Linked DNA regions of Notamacropus eugenii. The protein of the gene in region 1 purifies or fractionates together with the protein of each later gene. This does not show direct contact. Links are inferred from orthologs where the notes say so. Each region holds a gene or a part of one and is shown in the gene's direction. Other genes may lie near its edges.

Region 1 (3,742 bases):
TATCTCCATTTTACAGTCCGGAGGTTGTGCTCAAGGTCACCCAGCTGCACTGGGATTCAAACTCAGGGCCTTGGCCTCCAGATCCTGCGTTCCTTCCATGGCACCCCCATATCAGAGGCAGAACCTGGATCCGAATCTTCCCGACCCCACGGATTCCAGCCAGAAATTTCCCCCTGCCCCTTTACAAAATGATTTGGCTCCAACTGCCCTTAAGGAGAAGCTTTCCCAGAAAACATAAAAGCATCGAAGGGGCGCAGCACAGCACCAGACGGACCCCTGCCCATCGCCCACCCACCAGGATGGTGCAGAAAGTGCCCGGGGAGGGCAGAGCGGGGGATTCCACCAGGCTGAAGTTAGGGGAAGGGAGCGCTGGAGGCCGGCGTGTCTGCCCCGCTCCCCTCCAAACGAGGGCACCCTCGTCCGCCCGGCTGGGCGCAGCCTCGCCTCCCTCCTGCCCGCGGGCGTGCATCCCCTCCGGCCCCGCGGCGGCCGCCGGCCAGGGTGGCCAGCCCGGGCCGCTCCTCCGCCAGGTGCGGGGCCAGGGGCGCACACGCACGGCCCGGCGGGCATGCCCTGCGCTCTGGGGGCAGCGCGGCGTCCACACCCGGGTGGGGGTCCGACCCAGCGTCCCAGGGCCCCCACGCGTGTGCGTGCTCGGACTCGGCGGGGGGTCCCTGACAGCCCACGCCTCAGGAGCCATGCCATGCCGACTCCTTTCTCTCCCTCCCTCCGTCCGTCCTCTCCCCAAGTCTGGCGGAGTCTCGGCTTGCTCCTGCCGGGGCGCTCGAAGCCCCGGCTACGTCCTCTTCCCCACCGCGTCCCCTTGGGCGCCCTGGCTTACACGAGAGTAGGAGGGGGGCCTGGGGTGCACGCGGGGCCGGGAATGCTGAGCTGGGGGGGCGGGGGACACACGCAGACGTCCCCTACACAGATGTACACACAGCTCTGCGTCCGGAGACGCACAGACACGTGCACGGACACATGCACAGACAAACAGACACACACACACACACACACACACACACACACACACACACACACACGGCACCGCAGGAGGGCCAGGCGCCGGTGCAAGCGCACACAACACACACACACACAGCACAGAGGCGGGCTGAACCCTAAGAAACACACACGCACACGCATGCACACACAAGCAAAGGGGCCTGGGCATGCATGCAGACATGCATGCATGCACGCACGCACCCACGAGCCCCCCCCACCACCGCGCACACGTCCGCAGCTCTCTCCCCCCGCCCGCTTCTCCCCCTTCCCTCCGCTCCCCCTCCCCCTCCGTTCGGAGCCTCCCCCTCCCCTCGTCGGAGGAGCCGCGCGCCGCCATTGGTCCGCCGGGCTGGTGACGCGCGGCGCTCGACCCCGCCCCCAGTCAGTCACTCGGCGGAGGCGGCGCTGGCGGGGACTAGTCTCGTCCGGAGACTGGCAGCGGCGGCGGCGGCAGCAGCAGCGGCAGCGGCAGCGGCAGCGGCAGCAGTAGCAGCGGCGGCGGCCGGAGCTCGAGCCCGGGCGGCTTCGGGGGGGGGAGGCGAGGAGGACGGCGGCGGCGAGGACGGCGCAGGCGGCGGTGGCCGCGGCGGAGACGCGGCGGCGGGCGGCGTTTCGTTTCTCCTCAGCGCGGCCCCTGTTGTGCGGAGGGGGGGGCGGGGGGAGAGCCCATCCATGACCATGGGCGACAAGAAGAGCCCGACCAGGTACCTGCTCCCGCCGCTCGGGGCCGGGGCCGGGGGGAGGGGCGGGGGCGCGAGCCGCAGCGGGAGGAGGAGGCGCCCACGACTAGGCCCCGCCGCCGAGCCCGGGCCGTGGCGGCGGCGGCGCGCGCGGTGGGGGGGGCCCGGAGGAGGAGGCGCCGCTAAGATGGACGTCGGCCCGGGGCGGGCGGCGGGAGGCGGTGTCTGCCGGCCTGCCTGCCCGCCCGCCCGCTTGCCTGCGGGGCCGAGCGCCGCCTCCTCCTCGGCCGCAGCCATGGCGGCTCCTCTTCCCCGACCCTCCCAGACAAAGGGAACGGCTTCCCCAGGTGGGGAGGGAGCGAGGCCCGAGGAGGACGCCCGGGAGGGGGTCCCCGCCCTTGTCGGGCCTGGGCCACGCGCCACGAGTGGGCCGGGGAGGAACTTCGGGGGGGGGGCCGCTCCCGTGAATTGGGATTTCTCACCCGCGCGTGTGTTTGTTGTTCTCCCCACCCCTCCCCCTCCCCCCACTCCGCGAAGGCCAAAAAGACAAGCGAAACCTGCGGCCGACGAGGGATTTTGGGATTGTAGCGTGTGCACCTTCAGGAACAGCGCGGAAGCCTTTAAATGCAGCATCTGTGACGTGAGGAAAGGCACCTCCACCAGGTACCCCGCGGCCCCCCGCCCCCGACACACGCACACACACAACGCACACGCACACGCACGCACTTGTTGATCGGTCGTGCCTTTTACCTGTGCCTGACTCATGTTGCTGTCGAGAGCGTGGGGCGCACGCTCGGAGAGTCTGCTTTTTTCGGTTTCCTGTGAACAGAATTTGGACCAATATTGTCATAATTCAGAGTTTCCAATTCTTTTTTTTTTTTATCCCATTTCATAAATTGAGAACCAGCGCAGGGGCCTGAGCCCTTGACTTCACAGACGGAAGCACTTCTTTTCTCCTACACGTCTGTGGGGAGTGAAACGGAATTTTCTTTTTGTCACGGGCGGAACGGTTGGGTGTGTGCCAAGCCCAGGGAGGCTTTACGGGAGGATCCCCGAGCACCCCGCTTGTCGTCCCGTAAAAGCCGCAGCACTTGGAAGGGCTGCGGCCGGAGAGGCAGCTGAATTGGGGCTCTTTAAAGGCTCGGCGTCGGGGCTTGTAAATTGCAACATGGTGAAACTGATCAGGCTGTAAATACTGTCGTGCTGGCTTTGTGCCAGGAGTAGCAGCTCGGAAAGTTCTTGGTGGTGGCATACCCAGTCCTGAACGGTGCCGACCCGGGCTCTGGCGAGCTGGGCTCTCCTAGGTGCAGGTTTTGTGTGTGTGAGAGAAAATTGGGAGAAACTCCTGTGGTTGCTTCGGAGTTTTTTGTTTCCTTCCCTGTTGTCTTTGAACAGAATTTGGTGCAGTGTTATCATAATTTGGAGTTTGAGTTCAAACTGTTGTGGTCCTCATTTGATGCCCAGATGTTTGTGTATATTCTGGGTTGGTACTTGGAGTGGATTGCCAAAAAGTGGGTCGTTTTACCAGGTGTCTGTTTTGTTTGGGTGGTAGTCCAGTGTGACTGTAGTATTTCAAATGCATAGCATTCGGTAACTTGCATGGCTTCATGATTAAAGACTCTTCTTTATGTAGTGCCTGTAATGTTGTGCTTTGATTTTTATACTTGAGGTTAAACATAAGTAGTTGGGCATACTTTTAAGCTTATAACTTAAGACTTAGTTTAGATTTAAGTAGTATACTTGAATAAATAAATCACCTTGAAAAAAGAAAGAAAAGTGGACCACTGAAATTGGTTATTTTAAGAGCTGATTTTCCCTAGTTTTTGGTGGTGTTCATCATAACTTTAGGAATATATTATTCTAGATTGAATTTGCTTTGAGGCGGAGGAATATTTTTTTTCAGTTTCTTAAATGTAGATTTCTGTCAAATGCCATTAAATTTTGTACGTTATTATTATAAGCAATAGCATGTGGATTATTTCTTTACATGTAAAAACCTTTATTGTGGTTTTACTTTGAGGGTTACTGTAAATGATGGGTGTAGTACAACGCAATGACTG
Region 2 (3,742 bases), on another chromosome or scaffold:
TCTCTGTATTCATCATGTATGTTGCTTCTTCCAGCAGAGTAACCTTCCATTTCACTCATATTCCACAATTTGATTGGTCATTCACCCGCTGAAGGGGGGAAGATACTTTGTTTCCAATTTTTTGTTGCCACGAAAACTGCTGCTATGAATATTTTGGGGCGTGTGTGGATTTTTTGTGTCGGTGAGCTCCCTGGGGTTTATGCCTCCAGCAGAATCCCTGGGTTGTCCTGGATGTCGTGTCTGATGGTGGTGAGAAGGCACTTATTCATCCAAGTACTGTGAGTCTGAGTTATTACATCGGAAAAGGTAGATGACAACGAACAACCGCGGGAGGCAGAAGCAGAAGAGACCCCTGTGAATGCAGAGCAGGGAGTGTAGAGGAGGTGCACGGCGCCCCTGGGGAAGGGGTGGAGGAAGATGAAGAAGGAGAAGAGTCACTGGGCTTGGCGGATGAGTGACCTTGACAGGTCAAGGGCATCAGTGACCTTGGAGAGAGGTGGTGGAGAAGGAAGCCAACCGTATTCCTCCTAATAGAGGAAAGGCCTGAACACGGTGGGTCGGTCAGGAAAGGACACAGAAGCTGAACGAAAGGGGGATGGGGGGTCGGGCGCAGTCCAGCCAGGCCAAGCAGCCCCGTCCTGTCAGACAGTGACCACACCCCACGTGGGCCACGCCCGTCCTCGGCGGAGGGGCCCGAGAAGGGCCCGGGGACCCGAGGGAGGGGTCGGGAAGCCGGCCCCAAACGGGCCAATGGTGACACCCCGCCGGTAAGGGGGAGCGCGGGGCAGTCACGAAGCGGGCCCGGGGCCCGGCGCCTCGGGCCTAGAACCCCAAAGTGTTCTGCAAACCTTCGTTACGTCTCACCGCACCTGCCAGGGCCGGGTGCCTTTTCTATCCCGGTTTTATGGGAGGCCAGACCGCGCCGGCCCCCGGCCCCCCGCGGAGCTGAGCACGTGGCCGCAGCTCCGTCGGCCCGGGGCCGGCCCGGCCCGCCGCTCTCCTCGCGCCTCCTTTCAGATGACCTCATTGCGGCTAGTCCGGGCGGCCCCGGGGGATGCGCGGAGCTGTCGGGAATGGAGGCGGCGCGCGGGCCGCAGGCGTGGGAGCGGGCCGCGGGGCGCGCTCTGCGGATGGCGGGGCCGTCGGCCGGGGCGCCCCGCCGAGCCGCAGCCCACCCCGGCTTCTTTTCCTCCTTTTCCCCCAAGCGCACCGCCCGGCCGATCCCCGGCGGGCTCAAGGTTCCCACTTTGACGTTTTGGCGCCGCGCGCTTCCCGCGCTCTCCCAGGCGGAGCCAGACACTCCACCACATGCGAGCACGCACACCGAGCCCTCCGCGGGAGCCCAGCGCGGGGGCGGAGCAGAACTGGCGGGAGCGAGGGAGGGAGCGAGCCAAAGGCGCGAAAAAGCCGCGCAGGCGCGCCCGGCTCCCCGAGGCGGAGCGCGCGGGGGTGAAACTGACACTTTGGGCCCGTCTCTATGGGGCCGCTCGTGGCCGCACGTCACCGCGCTGCCGGCACGTCACGCCGGCTTGACGCTCCCAGTACAAAGTGTAAGTTTCAATTTTTTTGATCCCCCCCTTGGCCGACTCTCCCCATTTTGTGGGGAGGAGTGGGAGCGCAGTCGGGGGGGAGGGGGGTCGGGGGAAGCGAGGCCGGCCTCCGAGCTGCCGGGATCTACTCCCCTCCCCCGTGATCTCTCCCTCCCTGGGTGCGCGGGGGCTGCAGCGGCGGGGCCGCGCTGCCCCGCTCCCCATCTCCGCCCCCCACCCCCCGCGGCGCGGGCGCCGGGACCAGGCGAGCCAGGTGTGGGACGCGGAGCCGGCCTCGCGGGCTGGGGGCGCGTGTGCACGTCAGCGCGGGGCCCGGGGGGGCGGCCTTGCAGCCTGGGTGGGGGCTGGGGTGAAGGATGCAGCCGGGTTTGGAGCCCCATGCGGGAGGATGGGGGGGGGTCCTTGTGGAGCCCGGGAAGGATGGAGCGGGGGCGGGGATGGCGGAGGTCCGCCGGGTACTTGAGTGTGTGTGGAGAGTTAGTGCTGGCCTGGGGTGGGGGGGGCGGTCGGAGCGGAGGCTGGCCGGCAGGGCCAGCCGCGGGGGATGGGGAACCCGTGCGGCCGGTCTGGTCCCCTGGGCGGGCCCCCCTCTGCCCTGCCCCCCGCCTCGCCTCGCCTGTGTGTGGGCGCCGTGCACACGGCTTGGTGTCTCCTCGGGTCTCTTTTCCTGGTGCTGTGTGTTGCACATGTGCAGTGGGTAGACCTTGCCTTCCCCCCCTTTCCCATCCTTCTGCCCCCCACCCCCCCACCCCACGCTGCTGCTCCTGCTCATTGTAGCGGTTGCAGTTGGTGGTGGGCTCTGGGCTCCGCTGCGCTCCCGGCCTGGCTTGGGGGGGCGGCCAGGAGGGGAGGAAGACGCCTTCAGGTGAATTGACCCCCGGCTTGAGATGCGGGGCTCCGGGGAGGAGGGGAAGACGGGAGGGGGCCGGCGTGGACGGAGGCTCTGGGGTGCTCACCCCCTTTCTGCCTTTGCAGATGGGGAAGGGTCCGGGGGATGGGACGGAGAAAGGTGGGGGGGAATGCCCAGCTGGTGGAGGGGTGGTAGGCCTCTCTCCAGCCCCCCATCGCCCCATCAGCATCGCTGCGCCTCCTTTGGGGAGCAGGGTCCCACGGCGGAGGGTCAGGATGGCGCCTGTTGCCAGGGTGGTGCCCGGGTCTGGAGGGGGGGCGGAGGGGGGGAGGCACAGGCCGGTGAGGCCGGCCGGGCGGGCTGGCGGGCGGGCAGGCGGCTGAGCCGCCGCCGCAGCTGCTGCTTGTGTCCGTCCATGGGGCCTGCTCCGGCCAGCTCCCTGCGGGACACCCCGGCAGGGGAGGGGGCTGGGGGCAGCCCCTTCACCAGCCTGGGTGCTGAAATGGCACAGCAGGGTGGAGAGCTCGCTGCGAGTTCCGGTGCTGGGGGTGGGGTGGGGGGAACTCGCCCTCCTCGGGCTGTGGTTCCGAGGCCTAGTGACAGGTCAGGAAGATCTAGATCCCAGATGGACCTGGGGCTTGTGGAGTCGATCCCGGACCGGGGCTCGCCTTGTGGCCTGAGAGCAGTTACTTTAACCCTGGAGCTCCCTTGGAAGCACACCTGTCAGAGTTCTCAGCATGCTCAGGGCTGGGCCAGTGGAGCTGGCGGCTGACTGGAGTGGGGGCAAGGCCTCCCCTTCCACCTTTCAGTATATTTTGGGGGAAGGGGGCTAGCGGGAATCATATATCGTGCATTTTTGTGCTGGCAGTGTAAGGATGGGTTGAGTCTGGATATATAGACATGGGCATAGGTTGGCGTGCGTGTGCGTGGGTGAGGGTTAGAGGGTTTGCTTGTATCCATCATATCTAATCGTGGTGGGGGTGAGGGTCTTAGGTTCGTCATAGTCTTGTTCTGCCTATCAGTATAGATGGTTATATTTGTTACCCTGTGACATTAGTTTGTAGTGGGGTGAGCTAGAGGTATCGTTAGTAGTCTGGGAGCGTAAGAGTTTGTAAATTTCCTTTGTATAAGACACTGACATTTGTCTATAACATGTCGTTAGTCCCATAAATTATTTTTAAAAGAAGTAGCCAAGTTGCTTTTGTAGATTCCTTTCAGGATCGAATACATGTATGCATCGGAAGGGGGAGGAGGTTCCTGATATCCCAGAATGCATTTTGCTTTGCTTTGGAGGGAGAAATGTATCAGTTTAGACTTAAGATACAATATTTTGCCAACCATT

The links. The genes of interacting proteins can lie anywhere in the genome.
Region 2: the proteins of RYBP (region 1) and TFDP1 purify together in Homo sapiens (affinity purification with mass spectrometry; 3 studies listed by BioGRID and IntAct, counting the BioPlex papers as one, with this or other methods). This does not show direct contact. The link is inferred for Notamacropus eugenii from reciprocal best matches to the Homo sapiens genes YAF2 and TFDP1.

What each region holds. Positions count from the first base shown.
Region 1 is NC_092874.1:450,830,192-450,833,933, forward strand, and holds the start of RYBP (RING1 and YY1-binding protein), read left to right. Parts: upstream 1-1,459; 5' UTR 1,460-1,674; coding exon 1,675-1,706; intron 1,707-2,219; coding exon 2,220-2,345; intron 2,346-3,742. UniProt on the Homo sapiens protein: Binds to MYC and inhibits MYC-mediated transactivation. Also binds to MYCN and enhances MYCN-dependent transcriptional activation. Increases calpain 2-mediated proteolysis of YY1 in vitro.
Region 2 is NC_092877.1:207,440,678-207,444,419, reverse strand, and holds the start of TFDP1 (transcription factor Dp-1), read left to right. Parts: upstream 1-1,365; 5' UTR 1,366-1,550; intron 1,551-1,566; exon of another isoform or gene 1,567-1,803; intron 1,804-2,147; exon of another isoform or gene 2,148-2,415; intron 2,416-3,742. UniProt on the Homo sapiens protein: Can stimulate E2F-dependent transcription.